2 linked regions of the Lonchura striata genome follow. The protein of the gene in region 2 binds, or shares a complex with, the protein of the main gene of each other region. Links are inferred from orthologs where the notes say so. Each region holds a gene or a part of one and is shown on either strand. Other genes may lie near its edges.

Region 1 (15,169 bases), about 7.6 Mb from region 2:
TTGCTATTATATATGATCCTAAAATCCTCCTGAATAAAGGCTCTGAGCCCTTTGTCTGCTATAAATTGTCTGGCTCTAAGTTCAGCAAGACTCAAGCTTCTAGTAAATACTCCTCTTCTCTTCTAGTAGAATTTGTACTTCAATAATGAAGCATTGTGTCCCAGTGGGCTCCCTTTGCTGCCTGTGGTTTTCATAGGTCAGACTACATGTCCTAATACTTCCTTTTGTCCTAAATGATTATTCTATGAATTTTGTGCATGTCTTGTTTGGGCGTCCCCCTCCAGAAAACCATGTGGAATGTATTTTTTAACCTTTGGTAGGTGACAACCTTTTGTGACACAAACCCAGTGAAGAATACGGTCAGTGCCTGGTCACTTCCTTTCCTTTCCTGTTGATGCTTTTCTTCTGGTCCCACATTGTCACACATCAGCTACTAAATGTTCAGCCACTACAGCCACAGCAGAAAACAATGACAAGGTAGTACAATATTTGCTATGATTTTTCTTCTTGTATGAGAGATGTGAGAAAATAGATGACCAAAAATAGTGTAATCAATCAGTCAGTTTGTTCACAAAGGTAAAATTCATAGAAAACAGAGCTTTGGGTTAGGGTTTCTGGCTTTGGGGTCAAGAATTTGATTGTGAGAATTGAGGTAGCCTGCTTCTCTGGACTGCTGAAACATGATTTGTACCCCTGTAAAGAGAGTATTTTGATCAGCAAAGAAGCTGTGATATTTTTTCTCCCTGGTCCTTTTCAAACCTGACTGATTTGTGTCCTGGAAGGGAAGCCTGAACAGAAGCTGAACTTGCCTTTAGTGGAAGAGTTCTTTTCTTTAGAACAAATTATCTCAGGAAAATGGGTATGAAGTAAAACAAAGAAAAATACTAACTTGAAAAGACATGATCAAATTGTGATGCACTTTTATACCTTGTAAGAAAAGGCTTTTGAGTATAGGTGTTAAAAATCAACTAATGTATTACAATTTTAAAGGGTTTAATCACAATTATCTGCTGTGCAAGTAAATTTTGAACATAAAAACAAGGGTTCCTCACTGTTGAGATAAAAATAATTCTTCAGAGGGACTGTGAGAGCCAGCTGTGCTAGTACCTGAAAAAGTCTTTAGAAGAATGGTAGAGTGATGGATATCCCTCCTAAATCTGTAGGAACCCTTGCTGTGTCTTTTGTGGGTCTCAAAATTCTTTGAGTTCTAAAGTCCCTACATTATATTCCATAATACAGTTACTATTATTTATCCTGGCTGTGAAAATATTTAGGAACAAAAATAATTACCTGGCAGGAACCAATTTGGAAGTATTCCCAACATGCAGTTTAAGTGTACCAGCAAGCATTAGTTGGGAAAGAGATGTCACATGCTCTGTGCCATTGGCTCTGATTTGGGAAAGTCATTTGATGTAATTTTGAATCATCACTATAGAACTCTGCTTGAACTTCAGCAGCTGTTGACAAGTTTCAGAAGTCCTCACCAATTTTTGCCCTCAAATGTCTCCCAGGAGTTTGTAGCTGGAAGTAGGGTGATTTTGGAGGTTGGTGGTTTTGGATTTCTTTCAGTTGTGTTGCTGAACACACAAAAAAAGACAGGAAATCCAGTCACTTCAAGATAGCTTCCAAGAGAAAGGTGTAGAAGAGGTATCAACTCAAACTGATCACATTAGCTCTTCTAGCTGAAAAGGAATGCTGAAAGGTTGTTGTAGGCTGGATGAAATATTACAGTTGACCCAATAAAGAAGTACTTAATTTTAGGCTGTTTTATTAAAGAATGAGAAACCAAAAATTGTATTTCTATTAATTATGAATACATGTGACTTGAATAAACCTGAGAAGACCCTCTAATACCCTCTTCTATTGTAAATTAGAATTAAATATCATCCTTTACAAAGATCTGACAGACCTGATCTGAAATACCTCAACTGATGTCAGTCCCAGACCCTCCAGACAAAATTTTTCAGTGCTTAACTGCCCTGAAAATCAGAAAATGTACCCCATTATCTGAGATGGATCTCCTGTCCAGAAAATTAGACTGATTATTTCCTCTTTTACCTTTGGTGACTCTAAGGATAATTGATCCGGGACCTTCAGCCTGTTCCCACTGGAAGGTTGTTATCACGCCTGTCTGTCTGGTCTCCTCTTCTTCAAGATTGAACGGTCTCAGATCTGTCAGCCTTTCCTTGTAGGCTGCGTTTTCACAATTCCTGACAGCCTTTTGCTCTCCTTTGAGTTTCCTCCAGTTTCAACTCTTAATGCTGTCCTATGAAATGTTGGCAGTTTTTTCCAGTTGTTGTGACCAGTAAATTTTAGGCTTGTTCCCTAGGGAAATAGGACTTACTAATCACATTTTATGTCTGTCATTTTACTTTTTCTATCTACTTGACTCATATTTTTTTAACTCTTCTGCCAATTTCAAGCAAATGTGACAGTGGTTAAATGTATCTAAGATATTAGGTCTCCATTTATTTAATTTAAGCAGTTGCAGGGTGTAGGAGAGACATCTGATTAGAGTGCTAACCAGTGAAAGGTTGCTATATGACAAAATCCTTGGCAGACACTGAGGCACCTCCATAGCAAAAAAGTGCTACAAACAACACAAAACCCTTCAGATTTTTTCTTAGGCAGTATGGGACACACAGACACCCTGGGAGCTGCGGTGCATTGTTTCTACCCCTAACACAAAAATGACTTCTAAGAATATGTTGGATTGGCTGGCTCCTTGTCAGATATATTCATAGTTTTTCTTTATTTTACAAAAAAACCCCAGTAACATATATCTGTGGCAGATTGTTTCCCAAAGTTTGACTCCTACTACTATGGAAATTCAGCTGTGGGAGGCCTGAGTATCTGGGAAACCTCAGACACCATGCCATAACAGGTGGCCCTTTTAGGTTTCTTGATGGTGTTGTTCCACATCAAACGAATTCCTTCCGTATTTTCAGGTACATGGTCCAGAATCCAGGTCTTTGCTCTGTGAGTAGTGTGATACTTGCTCCCTTGTTTTCCTTCAGTGAATATTAAGGGAATCTGTGTAAAAACACAGTCATTTAGACAAAGTGCCTTAGGATGATGCCTTCCATTCCTGCAGCATGGAGGTGAGGACATCCTTCTGAATGCAATCTCTTCACAGGAGGGTATGCAGTGAAAACATGATGCACCAGGAAATTAATACAAAAAATTATTTTGTCCTTCTCCAGCAGTTCTTTCAACCTAGACTTTGAGACTTTTTTCAGAGACTTTCAACTTTGAGCCACAAAAAGAAAAAAAAAGAAAAGTCAAGGGGAAAAAGCCCCCAACAACAAGGAAAAAAATATTGCATGCCACTTCTGCTTGAGAATCTGTAGCTTATCCCTGTCACCAGTTGCCCATCCATTAGCCAAACTGACCAGGGGCCCCAGATACCCTCTGCTTCCTGCTCAGAAAGTGATGCTTCAGAGCTGATTCCTGCTGCAAGCAACAGGGAATCCATAGACTTCAGCCACATCAACAACAAAGGCATTTGTCCCTTCTCCACAAAGCCCTTGCCTTGCAAAGATTTTGGTGGGAAAAAACAACTAGATTCGGTAAAAAAAGGAATAGCTCCTTGAATGAAGGGTGTGTAGGATCCTGTTGTCCTGGCAGGAGTAATTGTGCAGAGTTTTAGAACACAATAGGGACAAGTAAATAAACAATGATATAAAATGAGTTTTTCAAAGGTGTGTCCCTAAAATTGCACATACCTGGAACCATAATTACATGCCTAGAAGTGCAGAGACATATACAAGGTACTTCAGACTAATCTGGGGCTTGACAGCAATGAGCCTGCTCCTCCAGTTTTGTTACCATCAGCATCTAGTCAAGCTAGAATAGAGCTGCTCTGGGGATGTCCACGCACACCAAACTCACACCTCCTGTTTATACATGGACAAACCCAAATACAAAGCATATATCCCTAGATTCCAGCGAAGGTATCAATGTTTTTGGCATACTCTGAAAATAGAAGCATTTGCACCTCTACTTTTAGGCAATTTTGTCTAAAAATTAGTGGGTTTATACCATCTCATTCCTACTTCCATATCTGTTCTCACCTGAGACAATTATTCTTTCATTTCCAGTGGAAGGTTTGATTTTGTCCTTTGGGGTGTCCCTTGCAAACCAACAGGTTTTGTGGGGTCTACACACAAAGTATATATTGTGGTAAATGTAGTTCTGATCTTGCACGCCATACACATGAATGCCATCTCCTTTTTTTGAAGCGGCATCTTGCATATACTTCGCATCTGCCTCATCGAAGTTGATCAGTGTGCTGGGGATGCGTGCCTGCTGAGGGCCACACTGCTGCAGGCTGCTGCAGTGGTGCAGTCTGCAATGTAGACAGAGCTGAGGGGAGCATCCACTCCCGCCTTAGATGCTGAGTGCCTGCGGGCGCGGCTGCGGCGCAGAGGTGCGACCGGGAGGCGGTGCGGCTGCTGGCTGCCGCATTCCAGATGTGTTCTGCATGGGATGCTGACCCCTGGTAAACTTGTTGGGCTGCAGGAGCAGGAAAGCACATAATCGGTGTTGCCAGGGCCAGCCCTTATCTCCCCCCAGGTTGTTACTTGAATAATTAAGCAAACAAAGGGCCGCTTGGCTGCTGCTGCCTCCAGTCGGACTCCTCGGCAGGGCTGTCCGGGAAGCCCGGGCAGAGCCAGAGCCTGGGGGAGTCGTGACAGGTCGGGGAGGAGACGGGAGGCGGCTTGTGCGGCTCCTCTGCTGCTTCTCTGTGTCCTGTTTTTAATGAGCTTTGGCGATCAGAGGAGCAGATGCACAGAGGCTCGCCGGCTCTGCCTGGCCAAGGCGAGGTTTGGTGTCCCCTAGCTCGGACCATTCCCAGGGACCGTTCATGGACACGGAGCTTCCCCTGCGTGCAGGCTGCAGCAGAAAGAGGCTGATGAGCCCAGAGACTGGAACACACCGATTGCAGAATGGAAGCTGCTCTCCCAGGGGCTCTGGGAGATCCTGCGTGTACGGGGAGTCAAACGGATGAAGCACAGAGCGATGCACAGGGGTTGATTGCGTTCTGTCTGTCAGTTCTTCCACAGCTCCCCACGTCTGGTCTCATGCTGAGCTGAGAGCTGCTCGGTGTGGCAGGACGGCTGAAGTTTCATGGAGCTCCTTCTAGCTGAATGCTTCTTTGCTGTTATTGTCTGGCCAAGGCAAAGGCACTTTTTTGAAGCAAGACAAATTTAAAAAGTCTTGATGGGTTTTCCTCTTATCTGAGGCAACTGAGAATGCTGAGACAGAGTATCTTTAGAAGCCATTGCAGGCTGGATTTAGATCCCAGGAAGTTTTTCACATTAACACTGTCTCTGGAGAGGGAGGAAATCCCATACTGTACTCACTGAACTACATTAATATGTTTGGCTTTTCTCACTAGATCCCTGTGGTTCAGCTCTGATGGTCTCTGGTGCAATCTGGACTATGCTAGATACTCTACAAGTCTGAAGGATGACACAAAGGCTGCACAGAGATCACAGCCTAAAAGGCTGGATGAGAAAGCTGCCATCCCTTAAACCACTGGGGTTTTGTACCCAGACATCTGTGTCCCATAATTATCACAGCAACACTATATTTACATGAGTCTTTCACTTGGATTTCTTGGATTTTATGTGCCTGTCTTTCTTCTGTGCTTTGGTTGATTTTTCTCTCAGAGGTTCCCAATGGCATCTTCCAGTGAAAATGCACTTGCAAAAGCTCCATTGAAGTTCAAAATAGAAAAATCAATTTAGCAAAGTACATATGACATCATACATCATGTATTGGTATAAGTCACCTCACATCTTTTCCAATCCTCACCTTCCCCAAACATCTACCATTTTCAATGATACTTGGCTTTAGTTTTTATTTTATGTTGTTCCTAGAGGATTAGTCTCACCAGCACCATGTAAGTAATTTGAATCAGATGAAAAGTCCTGCATCTGTTGAATGACTCTTTGGAATAAAGTTACTTTTGTGCTTAACCCTGTTTATAGGGTTAGAGCCCCATTCAAAGAAGTCACCTTCTTGTTCTCATTGGTACTAAAAATGTCCCTGGTACTACAGGGATGGCAATTCATGCACTGAAGCAGCAGTTCCTGCAGAATTATTGTAGTTACCAAGATTATACCGACAGCCAGGCAAAGTGCTGAAGGATTGTGTCCCATTTAAGAAGCACAGTGTAAAAAACTGAGATCTCACTGGGGTTACTCAGGGAGATAAAAACAATTTGTGATTTTGAAATGTGGAGTTCCCTGTGGATGAGCTACAGTCACAATGTGCAGGCTCCTTGCTGCCAGCTGCTCAGTTCGATGTGTGCACTCACCAGGTTTGTGTGTTTGAAGGGTCAGCCCCTCTTTACTTCCCTTCTTCAGGATGCTGCAGGGCAGAAGGAGGCAGGGGGACATGGTAAATGCCAACGGGCCTGTAGAGGGCTAACATTCATCTATCTTGGCTTAGATGTGCTTAGGACAAACAGTAGGTATTTGTTTCCATAAAGCTCAGGCACCACAATAATTTTCATAAATGAAAGCAGCCTCCCCTTCCAAACCACTCACTTAATAGCAATGACTATGCATGAAAACAGAGCCCAAATGGTATTGCAGTAATCTGTAGCTGCACATCATCTGACTAAATTTTAGAAAAGCTACTTGTTAAAATCAATATAGGACATGTTTTCTACAGCTGCATTTTGGAAGCTCTCATAGGAATGCGGAAAGCATTAAATGAGCTGCCAGCAACTTTACTGTTGTCTATGGATCCTGTAACAACTTCATCTAAATAGTTTTTGACTTACCCCTATAATTTAATTTTCTTTGTTGACTGCCTAAACTGCTTTTGAGGCAAACACTTCTAGCAGGTCATCCAACCCTTATAAATTTTTTTTTCTCTTTGTAGTCAAACCCAGCAAAACCAGCATCACCACAAAAAAGTTACTAAAGATGGCTTTTTTATCAGTAGGTACCTTTGGTTTTCACTAAGTATCTGTCACTAGCACTTACATGCAGTCTAGTTTCAGCAAGGTCAGTAGTTGAACTCACTGCCAGGGCTCCCCAAATCACTCAGCAATACCAGTGACCTGACCTGCAGTATGATGCAGATGGGGGTATTAATGAAGGCTGCCAATATTCTGGTTTAAGAGCTCATAAGAATAGCAAGTGCAGTTTTTATTTGCATGGTGCTGACTTGCTGCCACTTGAATCACATGAGTCTTATTTGACTTTTCATGGATTTTATTTGATCTCTAGGAAAACTTTGGCTTCTCCCATTCCCTGTATCTTTCTGTGAGCAACAGGGGTGTAATTTCAAAGGAAATTACACTCTTTCCCCAGTACAGTAAAACAGCTGGAATTGCATTGCATGCAAAATAAAATCGCTGCTTCATTAACTTAGTCATGGGAGTGGACAAGCTCCCATGCAGATTTGCAGGGAAAGAGGAAAAGGTGGCATATAGAGGTACACATAAGTATATATGTGCATGTATTTATATCTACTTGATTATCTATTTGTTTATATACCTCTCTTTACTGATCTATCTCCCCCATAGAACTTCTATTATGTGTATGGATAACGCATTAATGACCACCATGTTTTTATTTTTCCCAAAGGACTACCTCACAAACTTCTCTTTAACAGTCACTAGTTAATAATTCTGATTAAAAGGTATAGTTCTGGTTAGGGGGTTCGTTTTTTAAAAAATGAACTCTTGGTGTGAGAGGGCAATGGCTATGGCCATGGGGAGCATATCTTAAGAGAGCAGGATGTGAATGCTGATGGGTGGGAAGGGCAGCTGTGGCAGGCACTTGTTGGATTCCATTAGCTGGGATGTGGCCAGTTGGGGTGTTTGGGTACATGCTACATGGTTAGAGGACTCCTCGTTGTGAACTCAGCACTGACGCTGCCAGACACTTCAAACCCGGGGGTACAGTCGCTGCCAGCAGGAACACGGCTGTGTCTCACTGACAGTACCTCATATGGCTGGCCTTTGGGATCTTTCTGTTGGGGGGATTTTAAGAAGCCCCCAAAAAAGCACGGTGAAGCGCCAGACAACGCTGAATTTTACTGCTGAGGCCCTCCTGCTGCCGAGCAGGGAAGAGGGAGAGCTGCCGCTGCCCGTCCGAAGGGGAGCATCCCGGCGGGATGCGCAGGGGGCCCTGGGGCCGGGAAGAGGGGCGGGATCGTGCTGGGGAGGGCGGGGGCTCGGCCCCGGGCCCCGCCCCGGGCACAAGAGGGGCGGCACCGTTCGCCGGGGTCCCGCATCCCCGCCGGGCGGTGCGGGGCGTGCGGCTCGGCTCGGCTCGGCTCGGCTCGGCTCGGCTCGGCTCGGCTCGGTCTGGCTCGGCTCGGTTCAGCTTGACTCGGCTCGGCGGGACGAGGCGCGGCTGCCGTCGGGCAGAGGGTTCGCTCGGCGCCCCGCAGCCCGGGCGGCCGCGGGATGGAGCTCGGCGCGGCGCGGCTGCTGGCGGTCCTGCTGTGCCTGGCTCCAGGTAAGCCCGCGGGGAGCCCCGCCTTACCCGGGTCTGTCGGGAGCTCCGAGGAGAGTGGCGTGGGGATGCCCGGTGCCGCACAGGGCGCGGATGCGGCTTTCCCATGGGTTTCGGGGCTGCTCGAGCGGGTGAGACAGTGCGAGTCCCGGGTGGGACGGAACGCCCGTGGCTGCGGGCTTGCTGACCCCTCCTGTCCTGTCCTCTTGGCCTCCCGTCCGGCCGGCTGGTGCTGGCCCGTCGGAGAGGTTTGCCTGCCACGGCATAGTGTCCTGCCCGCTTGGCTCCAGCATCAGCTGTCGTTTCCGAGAGCAAAATGTCCCTGGAGCCAAACGCGGGAAACCTGTCATCAGGAGGACCTGCTCGGAATGCAAGTGATTAAAGCACGGGGAAATGCTAGCGGAATGGGGAATGTCCCGGTCTGGCCACGCTCTCTTGCTGCCCGTTGAAGCCGGCCAAGCTGTCGCGGCTGGGGCTGCGGCTCGGCCCGGTGAGGCGGGATTCCTGAAGGTGATGGCAGCAGCTAGGGCGGAGTGAAAATCTTTCCCTGTGGTTCTCCCAGATGTTGCACAAGCTGGGCTGGTACCTCAGAGCAAGCACAGGCACCCAGACCGCAGCCCTCACAAGAGCCAGTGGCCCCGGGTGGATGCGATGCGAGCCACTGTGCCGATAGTCCGGTCGTAATACAGTTTTGCCTAACTTAGGACGAAAGAGATAAACTTAGAAAATCATGGCATAAAATAAATTAATGGGGTCTCAGATTTGTGACGAAATGCAAATTACTTTCTTTGCATAATTCATTGATCAGTAGTCTCAAAGAAGTATATTCAATTTATTATGAGAAAAGCTGGTAATCCCAAGGGAGTGAGATCATCAGATGAAGGTTCACTTCGTTTCAATGTCCCACATCCTCTTGTTAGACCTTGAAGTTGGCAATGCAAGAAAACAGGAACTCCACCCTGGCTGACTGAATTGTAGTGCTCTGCAGCTAGCTCCTGACCATCTGCCTTCGCTTCCTGTTATGACAGAATTTTTGAACTTTTTGGGATGTGTGAAAAATCATGATTTACCCTTCACTGCTAAATAGGTGATGTTAAAGTGTCCATTTAAAACCTGATTAATATTCCTGTATATAATACTTTTCTGATTGAGTAGCACTTACTTGTTTATTTGGTTTATTAGAGAGGTTTCATTCATGTTTTTGCAGGTTTATTTATTTCTCTGGATCAGCCAACCCTTAGCATCCAAAAAGATGTCCTCACAATAATGGCAAACAACACACTAAATATTACTTGCAGGTAAGGACAAGTCTGTTCAGCATGATTTTGATTATTGGTTATTTCTGAAGTGAGCTTTTGTACAGAATCACACATGATGTGATCTTTCTCCTGTCCGGCCTCCTGTTTTCTCTCCACTCTTTGTGCCTTCTGCCTCACTTTTCTCTGACAAGCTTTAGAAATTATGTGGGAGGGCTGCAGCAAGAGAGAACTGGGGAGTGTAGGGTGGCTGGGGGAAGAAGCATCAGCTGTGTCCTTGTGGATCCTGCTGGTGAACCATACTCTCAACACTCTCTTTTGGTGCTTTGTCACTTAGATTCAGCAGAATGTAAATCTCAAGTAGCTTCCTCGTAGCTGTTAGCAGTAGGTTGTCTGTGTGGATTTGTCCTACATGGTTTGATGCTCTCTCTACGTGACGGGGTGAAGCCCATCCCTCTCCATAGCCACAGAGACTGCCAGGGCTGGGGTTCATATCAGAAGTGTCTGCTGCTCTAACATTTGCTTTCCCAGCGGTCAGAGGCCGCTAGAATGGTCATGGCCAAGCAAGCAGAGCAATGCTGAGAAGCGTATCTCCGTGACAGACTGCAGTGATGGCCCCTATTGCAAGACACTTACTGTGAGCAAAGTCATTGGCAATGACACAGGAGACTACAAGTGCCTTTACAGGGACAGCCAGGCAGCTACAACCATTTATGTTTATGTTCAAGGTAAGTGCTAACACAGCTCTCAGATGTCTCCTTTCCTAGTGTCAAGAGAAAAAAGGAACATGGTGTCTCAATACAGTTTTGATGCTAGAATTTATTAATCCTAGAATATTTGATCCTGTGAAATATTTTTCTTGTTTTCATGGTGAGTAATTAAATTCAGGTATTCTAGTTGCCATCAGCACAAAACCCTTTGAGCCTATAATTCTGAACTGACCTGCCATATGTAGTACATGGTCTGCTGTTCTCTACCCAGAATTTAGCATACATATCTCTGCTGTGCTCTGATCCTGTTCTCATGAATGCAGAGTTACCTCTGACCTCAGCAGGAGTTTCATATGAGAGAGGATTACAGAGGTTTTATATTTGTTAAAAATTACACATCCGATCCCATGTACGATTTGTGCTGATACCATTAAAAAAAACCCAAAAACCACCCAAACCCCAAAACAGAAACTTTCATACATTTGCTGACTCTGGTGGTAAAATCTATTTAGGCTGTAAGAGCTCAGCTTTCAGTTGAGTGTTGCAGACACTGCAAAGCCTCCAGTTATACACTCAGCTTCAATAAGTGCATTCATTGAGGCATCTGCCTTTTTGCTCTGATGGCTTCACCCTCGTTTCCATATGCATCCTGCTTCCTCTTTATTGTTAACTTATAGTTACCATTTTGAGAAATGAGACATAATTAAGTACATGACTTAGCTTGTTTTATAATATCATGGAGCTATTTTTTGGTGTTTTAGTCTGACTTTGAAAAGGATGCTGCCATCAGGGGAGTCAGTGTAACATGTCACAACTTTTAACTGATATTTCCTGTAATACTTATGCAAGGAAAGTCACACTAGGGTAAATCAGTTTTTTGTTGACAAAAGGACTGCTGTAGCAGGAAGCCATTCTCAAAAGTGCACTCTGCTGCAGATAACTGTTTTGAGAATAATGATATTCTGAATCTGGGGGGTGGGTTTCTATAAAAACATGTACCTCCCCTACTTAGTCTCATTATTTCAGTGCTTTATGACATGGAAAATAATACAACTGACTTTTCTCGATAATCATGTAGTGAATAATACCCACTTATCAATTAAATATTATTCTAGATTACAGATCACCATTTGTGACTTCAGTCAGTGATCAGCTTGGCATTGTATACATCACTAAGAATAAAACTGTGGTAGTGCCGTGCCTTGGAACTGTATCAAATCTCAATGTATCTCTACATGCGGTAAGGCAAAAGCCTATTATTTTTTCAAGAGTTAGTTGAAGTTGCTGTGGCATAAATATGTTGTTTGAAGTTAAAATAGATTTCTTAAAACTTCTGTCCATCCATTGTGACATTTATAGCTTGTGATCACAGGATGAATGTTGTACTTGCACTCTCAAAGCATGTACTAATTCCCTGAGCTAGAATGTTAAAATGGGGGCCCTGCAGCTGGGGAAAATGCCGGAGGTGAGAATTCAGGGTTCTTTGATTTTTGAATACTGACTATGTGTTTTATCAATATTCCAAACAGAAATATCCAGAAAAGATATTTGTTCCTGATGGTAAATCCATTTCATGGAATAATAAAAAAGGCTTCACTATACCCAGTCATTTAATCAGCTATGCAGGCATGGTCTTCTGCGAAGCTAAAATAGATGATGAAAGCTACCAGTCTGTGATATACATAGTTGCAGTTGTAGGTAAGCCAAAGGTTTTTATTTCTCTATAACCAATGTTCTTTTGCTTTCTACAGCATGCTGAACCAATTACATTTGGTTGGACACTAGGTTATTCAATACTGACAATGCAGTTAATGCAAAATGGATGTTGAGATTTATATCACTTTTCTTTTAAATGCAAAGTATTGTGTTTTTTCTGGTTGATCATTGGGATAAGTGCTTCTATTTTTAGTGTTTTATATTGATGCCAGGGATTTAATTTTTTTTTTCTGACAATGCAAACCTTTTTCCTAAAATCACTTATCCACATTCTCAGTCACAGTGGAAGGAAATGAGAGGCAAGCAACCATCAGCAGCAGATGAAAAGAAATTGCTCTGAGTGGGTACCAAGGGAAGGGTGGATCTGAAGGTCTCACTGTGAGCTGGGTAGTCTTGTCTCCCTAAAGACTTGTGTCTCGACTCTCACAGGGTTTTATGCTTTCCTGGTACATTTTGTCAATTGTTCATCATACCCCAGAAATAATGTGATAATTCTGTGGAGGCTTAAGCCTGAACTGAAACTCAGCAGCTCTTCCTCTTTTAGCTGAGGACCCATTTCAAATATCCAAATGGTACCAAGGCAATCTGTCCTGGCTTGTCAGAAAAGCATGAACCCCCCTCTTTACTCCATGCAGAAGGCTTTTACTTCTCCACCACATTCACAAGTTCTCACTCTGATTTGGAGGAATTTCAGAATATCTGTAGAATTTCTGCATTCAGAAGTTTTTGTTTTGAAATATTTTACTGCACAAAGTAAACTTTGGATAATGTTGCTACTGCCCCACCATTATTCTCTATAAAGTTCCTGCTTACTGCTGGGAATGGGTATATAATCTCCCTTAGTTTTAGATCTCACAAGGATGAGGAGTCTAAGGCAGAGGAACTGTGTGAGTCACTGTCTCTTGCCTGCTCCCACCACTGGAGGGGTTCTGATCAAGTCCACACATCCTGCTGTGTCACTGCCTGACACGGGTCCCAGCTGGGAAGTGCTCAGGGCAGGCACCTCACTTCTCTCCAGGCTCCTTTGTACACCCATTATTGTGCTGCACTGGGTCATCAAGGGGCTTTTTTGTAGCTGGGGTTTTGGTGGGAATTTTGGTGAATTCAACTAGGAAATTTGATGCTGAGTACTGTAAAGAAACCTCTTCTTACCCCCTTGTTTTGTGTGTGCCTTTGTCTTTCTCTAGGATACCGAATTTATGACCTGACAATGAACCCACATGATGAAGTAGAGCTGGCAGTGGGAGAAAAACTTGTTCTCAATTGCACTGTAAGGACAGAGCTGAATGTGGGAATCGATTTTAAATGGGACTACCCTTCCATCAAGGTAAAGTTATACTAACTTACAGGTGCCTTCATCACAAAGCAATTTGACTTATTTAGGTATAATATCACTTCTCCCTTTAAAACATTGAGAAAGAAGATGATAATGCACAACAAAATTTCTGGTATGTACAAGTGTGCAAAGGGCGACAGAAGGAATAACAATGACATTTCCAAACATCTCCATCTTTTGTCTATTACAGGAAAAACGTGCCACTATTAGGGATGTAAAAACCACTGCAGGAGAAATAAAGAAATTTGTGAGCACCCTGACCATTGACAGTGTGTCCTTAAGCGACAATGGTCGATATACTTGTGCAGCATCCAGTGGTCGTATGAACATGAAAAACAGCAGTTACTTCGTCATCCATGGTATGACATTTTCTCCTTCAGTTTTGTTGGTTGTTTCAGATTAGGGATTAATTACTGGGATGCAGAAGGCATCTCAATGATGAATCAAAAGACAGAAATGAGCCAAACTGCAGCGACAGTATTTATCTTGCAACTAGTATGGGATTATTTTTATACCACAGCCTTAGTTAATGGTAAGATTTTAAAGTATGCTGTATTTTAGTGAAAGCTGTAGAATTCCACCAGAAAGGGGGGCAGTAAAATAAACTGATATAAGCCTCCAACCCTCTTCCGCATTGACCTCCTTAAGGTCCTGTAAAACTCAATTTGTGCAGGTGGCTTTGTACAAGGGCTGCCTGTTCTCACTCTTGGTGAACTTAGGCCAGATCTTGGTGGCTCTGTGACACAAGAGTCTGGGTCAGCATGAATGAAGCTAAGAAAATTTTCAGTTTTTGCATTATGAATAGATGAATCAAATAGAGTTTTGGTGGTACGGAAATGATGCAAGGGAAACAGCTTTGGCTAAGTGAATAGATAAATATGAGGCCACATCCTACAGCCTTTTCTCAACCCCCTCTTGGGTACAGCCCCAGCTCCACTAACTTACTTATAGAAAAAAATTACCAGTATGAGAGTGGCTCATTTTTAATCACTGAGTCAGACAAAGAGGTTTATATTTTGAAGGAGGCTGATTTTCCTGAAGTCTGATTTCAGGTGCCAGAATATTCATTGCACTTTTAGAATGAAACGGAAGACTTTCAAACTTATTGTGGGCATAGTGATTCAAGATACACTGATTTTTTTTCCTGGGTTCTTTCTGTTCTGCTTTTCAAGAACCAAAATGAGATCATGTGCTACACTGAGTATACCAGATACTAAATCTAAACCATCCTAAATCTTAGTCAAAAGGCTAATTTAGTCAAAAGGCTAATCACTGTCTTCTGTCCAAATGCAAGTTTATAACTTATAACAAGTAATGTAAATAATTTCAAGGTACTCTGTGACTGCAGTGGTTGAAATGCATACTTGAGTTTTTAGCTTTCAAAACTGCAGTTTTGAGTAGTCTAATTTCCTGGAATAAGTATATTGAGAGAGTTTTATGATATGTATGTGTATATATGTATATACAGGTCTGACAGTTGGCACACTATCCTGAGAGCTGAATCTTGTCTCTGCTTTCCAGAGCTCCTCAGTGAGGGGACTGGTCTGTTCCCCTGTGTGAAGGAAAGGACTAGGTTTTCATGGTGGCATCTCTCCAGAGCCCAGTTTGGAGCCAGCTGTGCTTTACCAATGACCCACAGTCCTGTCACTAGCTTTTATTTGTCATCTT
Region 2 (15,001 bases):
TATCTTAGAACAAGCCAGGATAAATAAATAACCAACAAACTACTACAGAGTTAAGGGGATTGATTTATGATGATTACAATGGAAGAATAGAAGGATAAATTACTTACATTGTAGCTAGTTCCTAACTAAAGTCTGAAATGCAACAAAGAGGGAGAGCAACACAAATATTGTCACCAAAAGAACTTCTGGAGACCGATAAACACAAAACAAGACAAGCAAGTTGACAAATTCAACAAATAATCATCCATGCTTCTGTAAGTTATCAATGTTTTAGATTAAAATTCTGGTGCAATTTATGCAGCCATTAGTTTATTTGAAGTAGATAACACATTTACATGTAGGAGAATTTGGTATTACATTATCACTCTGAATAGAACCAAGGTGAAATTTAAAAAGTAATAAACATGTATAATAGATAAGGAAAATAATTATATCTATCCTACTCAATAAGCAAAATTTAGTACAAACAAAACTCCTAAGAAGCAACTTAGTCTATAAAAGAACTTGCAACTTTCAGGGACAATCTTGTTTAGAATGTCTTATAATTCATTCTACAAACAGCTGTAACATATTTTTTTTACATTAAACAGGATATTACATTTGATAAGAAACCAGTGTGACTTTAGTTGGATTCCCTTTTTTTCCAAGGGTTTGTTTTTTTTTTTTAATGAATCACTGACCACATTTAAAAAAGCAGCAGCAGAACACAAGGTTTTTAACAGACTTCTATCCTGGATGCAGGGTATCAATGGAAGACTATTATTACGACCACCCTCAGCTACAACAGTCTGAAGTCTAAGTCATTGTTTATTTTTACTAAAAGAAGTGGACACACACCCTTGAAAAATAGGCAAGACTTAGAATACACACAACCTAAGTGAGCATAAAAATAATGCTTTTGTTGGGATGCTTCTGTATGCCTCTAAACACTGCAGTTAAAATGACCTCCACAGTTTTTTTATAACCTTCATAAATGCATGGGATTACTGCAGACAAACAGCTGAAGTCCCTCCCAGGCACACTAGTGTGCTTAAACTAGTCAGGAATGCACTCCAAGAACTAGAAAGTGCAGTGATCTCTTTGAGCTTACTACTGTACTTTAGTCATATAAAAGGCCAGACCAAAGTTTAATATCTATGTTTGCAGAAGCATTGCTTAGTCTTTAAAATAATTATTACTAACAATGTTCATCCCGTTGCATCTGCTGCAAATAACGGTTCTAAAAAAAAAAAAAGCATCTTTTTTTTGTTCATGTGTCTGAAAAGAGAGTGGCTACAAACATACACATGACAAAATTTGCAGGAGATTAAACAGCAGCAGCAGGAAAAAATATCTTTCTCCCTACATGCTCAGCCCTGCTTAACTACGGGGAGTGAGGTGTGTGCTTGTTTTCAGAACAGGCAAGGCAGCCTCATCTCTCACCTGTGCATGGAACACGGAGTAAGGCTCTTGGTAAACTTACGGGTGACCATAAAAGTGATGGGTCTGAGATCGTACCATGGAGATACAGTGACAGCAGGAAACCAACACACTGTATTAAACTCTGTTAGCCATCAATGAGCAGCACTGTATGATTAGGTCAGTTTTAAAATAATTTTATAATAATTAAATTAAAAAGGTACATCTCAGGTACCATCCAATAAAAATGAAGCTCAAGTAAGCACAAGTATTTACATTGCAAAAAACCCTAAATCAAGAATCATAGTACAAACTGTTCTGTACTTTATTCCTGTCTATGTAAAGAGGCCCCAGTGAAATTTTCTGATGTGCTTCAGAATAGGAAAATATGTTTTCATTTGCTATTCCCATTCTAATACAAAACCAAACATTTTTGCATAAATATAGTTTTAAACCTTTTCAAACTACATGGCACAATTGATCAATATTGCTTTTTCATAGTCACATAATTCTAAAGACTATGCAAAAAAATGATGGTGCAGCTATGGCAAACCCTGCCAACTATATAGTTTCATTCCAGGTATTGTTACCATAATAACCTATTCCTGCTATTGTTACCTCATTGCCATTAATGGAGTCTAGGTACATGCTGCTGACACGCCTTTATTTCAATGACCTAAGAAATTTAATTCCTGCACGGAATACCCACGTAGTTCCTTCAGTTCATTTTAAACTTTCAGCAAACAAACAATAAGGCATTCTTTATTTCTTTAAAATAACACTCTCCCAGGTAGACAGTGTATATTCACCCCACATTCCCTATTGAAAACCACAAAAAGAACAAAAGCCAGAGAACAAACATAAGAGTTATTAAAACACTCAAAGACAGTAGGAGAAGCTAAAGCTTCAAGCCACCGGTGTGGCAAAACAGCTCACCCTGCCCTTGCTGCAGCTGCTCCGAGCATCCCTGCGGGGCGGCGGGTCCCTGCCAAAGGGCGTGAAATCTGGGGCAGGAGGGCTGATTCCCCCGGGCCCGCCCTGAGCACAGAGGCAACTGAAGTGCCAGGTTCCGCAAGAAGCCACCCAGGCGGGGAGAGGCCAGGGCCGCCCGTCCTCCTGCCCCGCCGGGAGAGGCGGGCTGCGGCTGCGAGGGGGTCGGCTCCTGGGGACAGCCCCCTGTGCTGCAGGAAATCCGCAAGAGGTGATTTACGGGCTGGGCTCATTCCCATCCCACTGAGCTGACAGTTCAGCTGAAAAGCATTAATCTGGGCCCTGAAAGCTTGTCAAATAACGAATCTTACCCTTAGGCTGAAAAGAAAAAAAGCAAAAAAAGGTAGGGGTGGGGGTTAGGAGTGGAGAGGGATGAGGCAGTGTTACACAAGCTTATCAGTGCCCACTTGCTGCAGAACATGCCCTTGCAAGAGCTGTGTAGGAAGAACTACTACTATTAATATCTGTAACACTTCCAAGTTCCTGCAAATCTCTAGACAAGTTTAATATGTGAAAATTACCTGCTTAAAAACACAATACCCCTATTTTCTGGCCAGCTTTTCCTCCTATGTTGGAGGAGCCCCAACTTCATTCACACTTTTTAAAATGCTTTCTAAAGCTAAAGCTCTTGAAATAGGAATGAAGAGAAATAAATACATGGCATGAAGAGCTGACCTAATGGCCTGTATGACCTGCACTTAGGCATCAGTTTAACATGCAGCAGCATGGCACCTTGATGGGAAATAAAAACATAACATCTATGAACTTCTTTGAAGTTAACGAAGTTCAAGCAGTTGACTTTTTACTGGCAATGATATTTTCCTTGAAACAATTATTTGCAGTTTACTTATTTAATCCTTTCATAATTACCTAAGATATCATCTTGACATTCACAGAAACAAATATGTGCAGTACTCACTCACTCAAACAGTTCCAGCAAAAGCAACAAACTCATAAGTAAAGACTTCCAACATAACTAAGTCTGCTTGGATCCAGAATCTTTCTCTACTTACTACTCAGCAGCAGTCAGGCACAAAAGCGTTTTCCTATTAATGTAATCGCTTAACACATGCTATCCCACTCCCTGGTCTCTTGACCTTTTCTTCCTTTGGTTTGCTGACAGTTCCTCTTTTTCCAGGGAGCACTTGCACTTAAACACAATGCACTACAGTGGCAGCTCCCAAAGACTTCGAAGTTCCTTCAAGAAACAGAGTAACTTTCCACACCATATGCACGGAAACGCAAAAGCATCACTGAGGAGAGTACCTTCACTATCAGCTGTTCTACCTCAGCAGTCTAAGTACACAAAGTATGTGCTCTGCTCCAGTTTGGATTCTTTCTACCTTTCCAGCATAAGGTATTCCAAGGCTTTACAACTCAAATGCCAGTTTCACCCAGTAAATAACTGACTTACAGTCATGGGTTGGAAGGAGTTGAGGTATTTTTACCCTCCACTAAGTTTTGACTTTCTTTCTTTTTTTTTTTTTTTTTTAATTTTTATAAATAGTCTAAGCAGTAAGAGTGGCTTACAGTTTCTACTTTAAAATATAAACTGGGATAAACACTTTATACACTTTTAAGCAATATGATCACTGATAGCACATTAGCATTCAGAATATTGCAATGTAAACATTGAGTTGTAGTTAAAATATTTTAAGAGAGACTGCAGTATAATCATAAACTTTTCCATGCAGATTACTATTTGAAAAGTATAGTATGACTTCTGTGTACAACAGTTTGCACACCTGAAGTGCAGCTAATATATACTATCAAAACTTGATTTCCTAGGTAGTTACAGTAAAACCTCCCAAACTCTTAATCACTTAAGAAAATAGCATAGGAGAGAAAAAAATCTGAATATTAATTTAAATTTTAATTCACAAAACTCCCTCCCTGCCCCATACTGAAATGAATAATGAATGAGCTAGGTCATGATTCCTTTAATAAGTATGTCAGAAATCTTCAAAACAATGAGATGAGGGTAAGACAGACATCAAAGGTCTTCTTTACAATGCCATGCTTATACAACCACATACTATGCATCTTTTTTATGCATCAGCATACCAGGAACTGCATAACCACAAGTACCAAAGGTACTTGAGTTTTATGTTACGAAACTTAATATGAAAACAAAAATTAACCGAGAATTTTAAGTATTTGTGTCTGGAATCCGAGAATTTAAGCCCAACTTTCACCATGCGTCTGGGCAGAACTAAGGTTTTCAGACTGGAGTGTAACCTTACACATCCCATCAACTCCGTCACGCAGCAGCAGCTCACCCAAAGCGTCAGTAACTCCAAGAGACTTCTCAACAAATGGGAAGTATAGGGTTTTGCTGTCATCGTCCTCCCACGTCTCCGCTTCGTTCTTGTGCCCAGCTGCTCCCCCGAGCGCTTCTCAGCCCGCCCTCCCTCCGCGCTCCCAGCGCAGGACCCCGCTCGGAGGCGCCTGCGGGGCGCGCCCCAGCTGCCCGGGGGCATCGGCCGCAGCCCAAGGGCCGCTGCCCGCGGCGGGGCCGGGGCCGGGATCGGGATCGGGATCGGGATCGGGATCGCTCCCGGCCGGGCAGTCCCCGCTCCACGGCCGAAGCGCAGCCCGCGGACTGCCTCTGCTCATCAGGTGTTGCGCGTCCCTGTGCAAACGCAGTTGTTCCCCGTGCAGCCCGCCCTCCAGCAACCCCGAAAACTCAGATACTTTAAAAAAATTTCCTTCCCTCACTTTAAGGAACCCCCCCTATTTCAAAAGCCTTCTCCCACAGCTTTTCCTCGGTGGAACTCCCAAGCCGTCCGTTCAAAGGGACTCGCAGACACATGCCCAGAGGAGCTGGCATCTACAGCGGGGGCACGAGCTTACCTTTGCCTCCCCCGCATCGGGCTCCTCCTCGTAGTAGCCCTGGCCGGACTCGTAGGCGGCGGCAGCGGCCGGCTGCCGGGGTCCCAGGAGCACGGCGCCGGCAGCCAGGCAGCAGCCCAGGGAGAGCACCTCCAGCAAGTGCATGGTGCAGGGATGGCAGAGCGGGCGCGGAGCGGGGCCGCGGGGCAGTCGGAGGAATGTAGCCGAAATTATCAGGCTCCTTCTTTTCCTCTCCCCCCCTTCTTTCGCTGTCCTCTCCCCCCTCCCTCCCCTCGCAATATCCAAGGCAGTAAAATCCGTGGGATGGAGAAGATGCGGTAGCAGCAGCTCCTATGCGCCTGCAGGGGAGTTCCCAACTTTCCCAGCCGCTTTGCAAATTCTCGCCAAAGTTATCCAGAGTTTGCCAGGTAAAAAACCCACCAGGAAACCGGACATCCGAGGCTGCGCTCACTCAGGAGCAGGGGAGGTGGAAAGCGCAGAGAGGAGGAGGAGGGAAGGGAAGGAGGGAGAGAGAGAGCCAGGGAGCAGCAGAGCGGGACCGGGCGGCCGGTCGCAGCCGGGGCGATCGCTTCGCGCGGGCCGGGCCGGGCCGGGGGCTCGGTGCCGGGGGCTCGGTGCCGGGGGCTCGGTGCCGGGGGCTCGGTGCCGAGGGGCCCCGCCGCGCTGCGCTGCGCTCCGCCCGCCGCGCTTGCGGACGCCTGTCAGCGGCGGCGCGGCCGGGGGGTGCGCGGCGCCCGGGGCTGCGCGGCGGCGGCGGCGGCCGCGCATGGCGAAAGCGCCCTCTGCCTGCGCCTCTGCGCGCCCGGAGGGGCCGCGGCCGCCGCCTCCTCCTCCTCCGCCACCTCTGCCTCCTCCTCCAGCCGCTGCTGCTGCCGCGGCGGCGCCGCCGGCCGCTGGCGCCCCGGGGAGCGATCGCCCCGCGCCGCGGGCACGAGGCGCGCCGCGGCTCCGCCGGGAACGGGAGGCGAGCGCTCCAGGTCCCGCAGAGCTGGGCTTTTCCAGCCCCGGCCTCGGCTCCGCGGGGATGCAGCCCGCGGCAAGTCCCAGCCCCGAGGAAAAAGCAAAGTGCCCGGCTCGTTTCATTTGGCTCGGAAGCCAAGGGGTGAAGTTCGCTAAAACTCACGCAGAGAAATCATGCAAGAGATTTTTTGTGAATCCTAATCAGTTACTTCTTGAGCAGTGTTGGCAGCTTCACTTAAGACAGTATGCAGCTATTTTTGGCTGCAGAATAAAGGATTTTGCCGTGTTAGAAACAGTAATCCAAAGAGAACCATAATTATTTGTAGCCTTCCTATCAATGACATTTTGGAGCCGTCTTCGAAGAGAAGTAACACCCCATTCAGAGCTCTAAATAAAACTGAGCATCCTGTGTTCCAGTTACAATGTGATTAAAAGTTTAAAAAGAATGTGTATTGCTATCAAAGTAACAATCTCCAGCCTGCTAAAATCCCAACTACACAAAAGAAAAAGGTTATATTTCCTATATTCTTTCGGGTTTTTTTTAATTGACCCTTGTGTAAATATTTAAAAAGCTTTTCATTTATTTCTGCATCACTTGTGTACATCTTTTGGTAATTAAATGTATAGGAACCAACAGTGGTGGCAGATCCCTGACTGCCTTGACTAGATGCTGGTAGTCTGCTCATGTTATACTGCTCTTATTCTTTGGGAATCCCATTATGTTATTATTCTGGGAGTTATACATAAAGATGTCTCTGGCAGGCGCTCAGATACCTCCTGTTTTTTTGTGTTTTTTTTTTTTTTTTTTTTTTTTTTTTTTTTTGTTGTTGTTGTTGTTGTTTTTATTTATTTTTTATCATTTCAGAGATGATATTTCAGCATGCTGCTACACAAATATTTTGATGCTAGAAAGTAACACTTCATTTACAATCAGAATGAAATCTAAAGTTTAAATAGGGCTATATTTTAAGAGGTTATATAGTCATTAGAAAATTATCAAAGCACTAACATTTTTTTCTAAATACTTTCAAGACAAAGTAAAGCAATGAAATAAAGACAGGGGTAGAAGCTGAGCAGAACAGCTATGAAGATACAAAATAGCATACATAAATTAAAAAAGATCATTGTTCTTCACTGGACCCTTAGAGCGCTTCAGATCAAAGCATAGGATTAAAGCCTAAAGAGAGCACAGTCCAGGATGCAAAATCCATCTAAACAGAAACACAGCATTGCTGATTTGAGTTTAAACATATTAAAAATCTCTCAAAGGTACCACAGATTGGTATAGAGAGGAAGTTCTTTTGCAGCACTTTATTAAAGCCTGCCTGACAAATCAAGTACAGATATTATTTCAATAAGTAAATGTTGTGCAAGGAGAAGCCGCGTAACTAAATCACAAAACAGGGTGAAACATACCACTCCTGCTGTGCCATCATAATATCAGCTGGCTTCATTATTTATTTCCCCAGTTCTCCAGCACTTTCATTCTTCCCCCCACAATTCATAGAACATCCATCATGGGATCAAAGGCTTTTTATGTAATAGAGCATTTCCACCAACTACCCTGTATAGCAAGTTTCAAGTGTCATAACTGAAAGCTAGTAATCATAGCCATGGTGGCTCAAGTCTCAGACTAATCAAAGTTTTAACAAGAAAGTGGTTGAAATCTATGATAGTTTATATGTTCTGTGTACAAACATATAAATACTCCATTGGCTCTGGGACACTAAGGTTTTCCTTAATCTAGATTGTATTTCTCTCCATTCCATAAAAGATGGCTAATTTGAAGGTTTACAAATTAAAATATATTTCATACTTTCTCCACCACATAATGGTTAATATTTCTCCTCTTGTTTTCAAATTAAGTAGAAATTGTCCCACAGGACAATTCATTTAAAATTCTAAGTGACACTGTGTACACTAACAGTAAGCTGACCTTATAAAGACCAATGACTAAAGAGAAATCCAAACAGTGTAAAGACACAGGTCTGGATCTTAATGTCCTATATTCTTCAATGACAACAATAGCTACTGTTGAAAAATAAAAACACAACTTTTATGTCAGAAGTAAGATTCTTTCAAACAAATTCTTTTAGTATTGTTTCAAGAATGAGTTTTAAAAATCGAGGCCCCCATCCCTTGTTCAAGTTGGTATAACATACATCTGCCAAAAAGACACCTCTGCTGTGTCTAGAAATGCCTGATGTGCATCTTTCAGATATATTCTGCTTCTGAAACACAGATGCATTTCAATGCCTGTTTCCTATCCATTTGTTAGCAGTGTGAAAACTCACTGCAAGAAATGTGAGCAGAGAGTGGAAATAAAATAGAGTTAAGAGCAGCAAGGAAAAACAGTAACATGCTTTCATAATGAGGTTTACTTTCTTAATGTAGAAATAAATGCTAACAAATGTTTTCTTTTCACAGAATGTGATTTCCATTATCTTTAAATTATTGTGTTTGGTTTAAAACAATCTCCTTTTCATTCTCCTATTAAACAGACAGACAGAAGCATACCCAAGAGTTAAAATCAGATAACATGATTTGTTTTTAATATACAACAGTCTTACTGGTAAGTTTCCATGGAATTTATGTTTAATCTAAATCTCAAAGTTAGAAAGCATTGCTCCCTGTGTGCAGTAACTCAAAAGACTGTGGAAGTGCCATTCTGGAGTCATCCCAAAAGATGAATTAAGTAAGCTTCCTTAGCTCCTTTACAGATGGGATTCCACCATACTTCCTCTCATGCTTAAAAAAAAAAAAAATGGATATTGATCAGTGTCTAAAATATCAGTATCTGGTGTAGATACTGTAAATTAGTTGTAAATGTTTAGGGGAAAAAAATAAAGAAAAGGTAATTCTAATTCAGTGCCAAACTGGACACAACAACTGCTCACTAATACATTTTCTGCCACTGAATCATTCAATCCAGTTTTATTATACATTTATTTTCATATTGCTTATCTACTCAGTGTAACCAGATTTACACAGGACTTCACTACTGAAAAAGGGGGTTGTGTGGATTTGAGGCTGTAGTCCATTTCTGTATATTCCTTATTTGTATAAAACATAATTTAATAGAAATACTAAGAGTACTGCCAGTTTTACTAATTATGAGAGTAATGTCCTTCCTCACTCATAAAAAGCACATTTAAAACCCTGTCTTTTTCTTGCTATGGGCCCTCATTTAGTATTTCCTTATATAATCCTAGAAAAGGATCTAAGCATGGTGGCTTGGAGATCATCAATAGCTACTGAAATATTTTCCTTGGCTTTGATCAGACATCCTCACTGGTAAAACCCCATGGGAAACTGTTCTACACCAAACTTCCAGCTAGGACTCCTGAAATGTAGTTTTATGCATTCAGTCACATTATTGCCAGGACAAATAACTTCAGTTCATTGAGAGACATCATTGCTGCAAGATCATTTTCTGCAATGCTTGACCTAGCAGCCTGCACTTTGTTATCCAGAAATTTCTCTTTTGTTTAGTATAAAAGTTGGTCCCTTTTGAAAATTAATTAACAAGACAAGAATCCTTAGAATTCAGCTTTTTGACACCGGTTGATATTCAAGGATTATAGGATTATTGGAATTTCTTTGTTCTCAGGGATTCCCTTTTTAAACTGTTAAAATCAAAACCATTGGCATTTAACATTAGAATTTCTCATGTTACTGACTAAATGACTGCAGTAATGTAAAACCCTTTCAACCCTTGCTATAGAAAGGAGTTAGTATGATGCAAAAATGGACAGCACCAGGCTACAACTGAAGAAAAGTGTTTGAATTAACCAAAGCAAATTACATATCTATAAAGCTTAGAATAGAGAAAGCCCTAGCACACATTTTATTCAGCTGACTTATATTATGATTTTTCTCTTTACCATAGTTTTTCGTCCCTCTTATGATGTAAGGTCACACACAACAGGTATCCATAGAATATTAATTTAACATCCTGTAAACTGATGATGTTCATTGTTATAATCTCTGACTATAAACAATGACTGATTGCAAATTTATGCTGCCTCTTAACTGAAAACTGTGCACAGTCTAAACTGTGTATAGCTGAAGCTATGTCACTAAATAAACAGTTCTAGATTCAACAAAAATATTAGGGGCTAACAGCACATGACCACTAAACATACAAACACTTTGCATGATACATACCTTCCTTCAGTAGTTTTCCAAGTGACAAGCTATGAGATAATTTATTCAAAATCTATTTCTTCCCAGTTATACTTACAAAATTTGGTAAAATTTACAAAACAACAGGGCAAGATAGCCCCAAGTCAGTTCAAGAGACATTTCTATGTAATTTCTAAAACAATGTCAGAAAGAATCATTTCTTTAAACAGATGCAGTTTCCCCTGATTTTGCTCCTGTATACCTCCTCTTCACTTAGATCTCTGCTGCATCCCTTCTCTTTTTCTTCAGTGCTTCTAACTTTCTGTTCAATATTTTGCCTACTCCAGAAATTAGGAATATGCTAAACCTTGCAAATGTAAAATGCTGAATTATTAAAACCTTAAAAATATTTTCAAACAATATTGAGACCAGTTCACTTCCAAACCCAGAATAGTGTAAATGCATTATTTTAATGATCCTAATTTTTTCTTAATAGGGTTTCTTTACAAAAGTAAATTCTTTTCTCCTATTTAAATTAGCCTTTTGCAGATTGGAACACTTAGCCTTCCTTACCTAGTCTTCTAGTTTTAAGATAAATAAGGTCAGTGCTTTCAAATTCTTTAAAAATTTTTGTTTTCCAAAGTTACGCTTATAACTGTCATTTGAATAACATTTATCCTGTGGTTCATTGAAAGATGAACCCCTGAAAAAGGTACTTCAAAACTGACTGTGTTGGGAAGAACAAAACACCCCAACCCATTCTTCTGTATGTATATTCCCATGTGGTATTTGCTTTTTAGGCAGATTCATTTTAAGCTTGCAATAGCATGTAATTTTTGTATATTTTTAAGGATTTTCTATCCAGCCAGATGTTCCCTTTGCTCTAGCTGTATATCTGACTCTTCCTACATAAGTGGAACACTCATATTTCCCAAGAGAAAGGTGTCCACTACCTATTTTTTTCTAGTAATTTTAATATTTCATGAAAATTACTTTCCAATTTTAAGTGTCTTTGCTGTCCTTGCTCCCTAGGTCCCATCTCTACATATAACAAAGTAGAGGTATATTGCCCCTGTGCTGCCTTTGGTTCCTTGTGGTCAGAAAAGGTATTGTTATTGACCTATTGGAAAGTTTAAAGCTTGAAAATTCCCTCCTGACTTTCTGACCCACACTGCAGGGTTTGCTTCAGCCCATCATATTGATTCAGAAACCATAAATACCAAAATGTGGGGACATTCAGGTCTGAGATTCTTGCTTAGTCCAACTTCATCTTTCACATGGCTGAAAATAGTTGGAGTTTAACTTAAAAATTATGAAAGAGAGATTTGTGGTTTAGGTTAGATACTGGTTTGGGTTTGTTGGATTTTTCTTTTGTTTTCCTTGATAAGCCAGGTAGTGAACCCCTGGAATTTGTTGTTACAAGAGGTTTACAAATGCATCAGACATAGTTCTGGACATCAGGACCATAAAATGATTTTTAAGTAAAGGGGAGCTGGAGGGGTGAAAGGGAGGGGTAGTCCAGTGTTGGATATTTTATTCAATGAATACAGATAGTGGAAAAGCATGAAGGAAATTGACTGGAGGAGCAGACACACACTGTTCTCTTCCTAAGTAGCATATTTAATTGTATCTGTTGGAAAGAAAAAAAAAATATAAACAATCTAGACAGATGGTTTATCTAAGCCCATAGGACATATCTTATATATGAGGAAAACTGAATCAATTTCTCATTGATTCAGGTCCAAACCACAGAGTAAATTTGTTCTTGCCTTACAGTCTCATGTTCAGACCACTATACTTAGTCATAACAAAAATATTTATTTTTACACATCATTATTACACCAAAAGTCAATCCAACAGATACAGTTGAAAGGAAGTCAAATATGTAAAATAGTCTTCATAGTTTGCAATTAAATTAATAAAGAGAACTACTGCCATCCTCACTGAAACTAGATTTAATAATTCAGTCAGAAAGAGAAAAAACCCAAACCAAACTCCATGTACCAGCATTTTGGATACATCTCACACAAAAACAATAAAGCAGCAGTTTCAGATATATTATTTCCTCTTTTTTTTTTTTTTTTTTAATATAGTAACAAATAAGACAAAGCAAAAAGAGAAACCTGCAAACCAGCTTTCAATCAGCAAGTTACCATTACTAAGTTTGAATTTTCAGCATGCTTAACTTGGTTACCAGGAAGCTTTTGCTCTCCGCTCAACAATTGCATAATAAAAACCATTACATGTTCCCTTCAAAAAATTGTATGTTTTGTGCTGAATCAAGAGCATTATTGTTGCTATTAGATCTCAGGATACATCCTGGGCACAGACCTAGAAAGATGAGGAATATCTCTAAGAATTTGAAATTCAATCCTTAACGTTTTCACTTTTCAAAAGCTGCTAAGAAAAAATAAACAAGAAAAAGCAATGACAACAAATTAAAGAACAAAGGTGCACTGATATGGAGATCGCATCAGAGGCCCCAAATAATTCCTTCCTTCACTGTCTGGCCAGAAAATTTCATTTTCCTAAACATTTAACACTGGGTGGAAGAGGTGCCTACTTCTCTGTGATATAATGAAAGCCATGCTAATTTCCCCTATTATCATTAATGAATTTATGCAATAAGAGACATGCTTAGACCAGTTCTTGACTGCTTCCTACTTTCTGCACAAACTGTTAATGTATCTCTGAACAGAGTCTTGATGTGCAACACTTCAGGCTAAACTGGGTAACTGATACAACTGGTATGAGACTGTCACTGAGGAAAACAGGCACAAAGTAGAGCACATCCATCGTCCTTCTGGCTGCTTATGCCTTTCTAACTTGCATTCAAGCAGCTACTGCTGACCTAAAAAGCAGGCAGCATGCTGGGCCTAATCTATTTTTTGAATTCCTATCCCATCACAAACCTACAGCTATACTCCACAGGGACACTTCAACTAATCAGTCCCAGTATAAAATTCTTAAGTGCAAAGGGTAGATCAACAGACCACTTTCAGGAGCAGGTTCCAGCTGTGGAACTCAACCTAATCTTCCCTATTGATAATGAACATAAGCCTGAGTGTATTCAAAACTAAAACCAACCCCAGCTTCTTAGTAAGACTCCCTGCAGTGATGGCATCTTCTCAGGGCAACCAGCTGATCTGGAGAGAGGAGGAGGAGGCAGAGAGACAAGCATGTATATTTTAAAAAGCTAGAAATTGCAAATATTTTATTTTAAAAATGGTTGGTTCCAAACTGTAGATGATTACATTAAAATTAAAATAATTTTCAGAGATGTGTAGACGTTACCTTTGCTTACTTTTTCTGCTTTATAATTCTGAGTAGTCAAAAATAACCTTTTATGTAACTGTATGGCCACTCATAGATATCTCATTTAAGCAGGATAGAGCAAAGTCTGAGTCATCCTTCTACCATATTTCTCTGCTCCCTTGAGATGTGACCAGTCAGGAGCAACACCTCTGCCATGGAGGGATTCTGGGATGAGGGAACATGCCAATGTGGTGCTGGGTTCTGAGTTGCCCCAGCTGAGGAGGTAGAGGAGGTCAGGTTGTCAGACCACCCAATGTTAACTTACTTTACTCTGTTTTATGGACTAGTATACAGTCAAGGACAACCCCTCCAAGCCCATGAGCTCAGCTACATGCAAAGAGAAGCTGGCCATATTAGGTATGTAACCTGATGAAGCTCAGGGAACCCTAATTACATGGTGCTGCTGCTGAGACTACAAAGACAGCCACAAGAGAGATGAGACAAGTTATGCTATAGTTTTAAAAGCATTTTTCTGCTTCCAAGGCATTGCAAATAGCAGATGGCTTCACCACACTTTTTGCTCTTAGGTTACTCCTAATAATACTCCTAAGTTTCTAATACTTTAGAATGAAAATAGGTGTTTATTAGTGGATCTATGAAGTTCTAGGATTCTGAATGATAAAACTACATAAAAATCAAAATAGTAAAAAAAAATATTTGTTTCCACACAATTCTGAAACTATTCATCTGACAGACTAATATTTATAGCCCACAGTTTTCAGGTTTTGCACTGAAATCGTTAAGACAACTGGAGGGCATTAGGAGCCATAATTCATTATATTAATATCCTTTTACATTGTAATAGCCTTCTTTCAAATCACATCTGCTTTTCTAAGTCCCTATTCCTTTTCTTGCCCTTTTCCATGTATGTTGATCACCTAAGCCAAAAGGAGCAAGACTCAAATGCAAAAGAGATGTATTCATGCAGAGATATTCACAGCAAGGATATTAATATTCATAGGAAATATTGAAAAGTCATTTGATTTGATTCTCTTTTTTTAAAACAGAACTTCAATGTCTAGATGTACAGTAGATTCAAAGGATTTTTTGCACATTGTATGACCTATTGTTTAGTAAAACTGTGTAGCAGATTCCTTGCTAAATAACAATGCTGTGTGCCAGTAGGAATAAAACAACTTTTTGAGCTCAATCTATTCTCAGTCAAGGTCAAAAAAAGCTGGGATCAAACTCAGTGAGTTCTCAAAAGCTTACCCTATATATACAATACCAAAGTTCATAATTAAGAAGATTCATTTCATCAGTCAGCTTCATGTTTACACAGCAGTGGGAGTAATTATAACACAACTCATTTTTTCAGGTTGGCTTGAACACTTGACCTTATAAGCAAACTCCTTTTTTC

The links.
Region 1: the proteins of VEGFC (region 2) and KDR are in contact, whole or in part, in a crystal structure (PDB 2X1W), measured with the Homo sapiens proteins. The link is inferred for Lonchura striata from reciprocal best matches to the Homo sapiens genes VEGFC and KDR. Residues at the interface, in NP_005420.1 of Homo sapiens: Thr148, Asn149, Phe151, Lys153, Phe186, Ile188, Val190, Pro191, Leu192, Gln194, Pro196; in NP_002244.1 of Homo sapiens: Val135, Tyr137, Ile215, Val216, Val217, Val218, Asn253, Val254, Gly255, Ile256, Asp257, Phe258, Asn274, Arg275, Asp276, Phe288, Leu289, Ser310, Ser311, Gly312.

What each region holds. Positions count from the first base shown.
Region 1 is NC_134606.1:27,250,276-27,265,444, reverse strand, and holds the start of KDR (vascular endothelial growth factor receptor 2), read left to right. Parts: upstream 1-8,267; 5' UTR 8,268-8,434; coding exon 8,435-8,486; intron 8,487-9,690; coding exon 9,691-9,781; intron 9,782-10,270; coding exon 10,271-10,467; intron 10,468-11,564; coding exon 11,565-11,689; intron 11,690-11,978; coding exon 11,979-12,147; intron 12,148-13,352; coding exon 13,353-13,492; intron 13,493-13,691; coding exon 13,692-13,860; intron 13,861-15,169. UniProt on the Homo sapiens protein: Tyrosine-protein kinase that acts as a cell-surface receptor for VEGFA, VEGFC and VEGFD. Plays an essential role in the regulation of angiogenesis, vascular development, vascular permeability, and embryonic hematopoiesis.
Region 2 is NC_134606.1:34,895,366-34,910,366, reverse strand, and holds the start of VEGFC (vascular endothelial growth factor C), read right to left. Parts: upstream 5,629-15,001; 5' UTR 5,386-5,628; coding exon 5,242-5,385; intron 1-5,241. UniProt on the Homo sapiens protein: Growth factor active in angiogenesis, and endothelial cell growth, stimulating their proliferation and migration and also has effects on the permeability of blood vessels.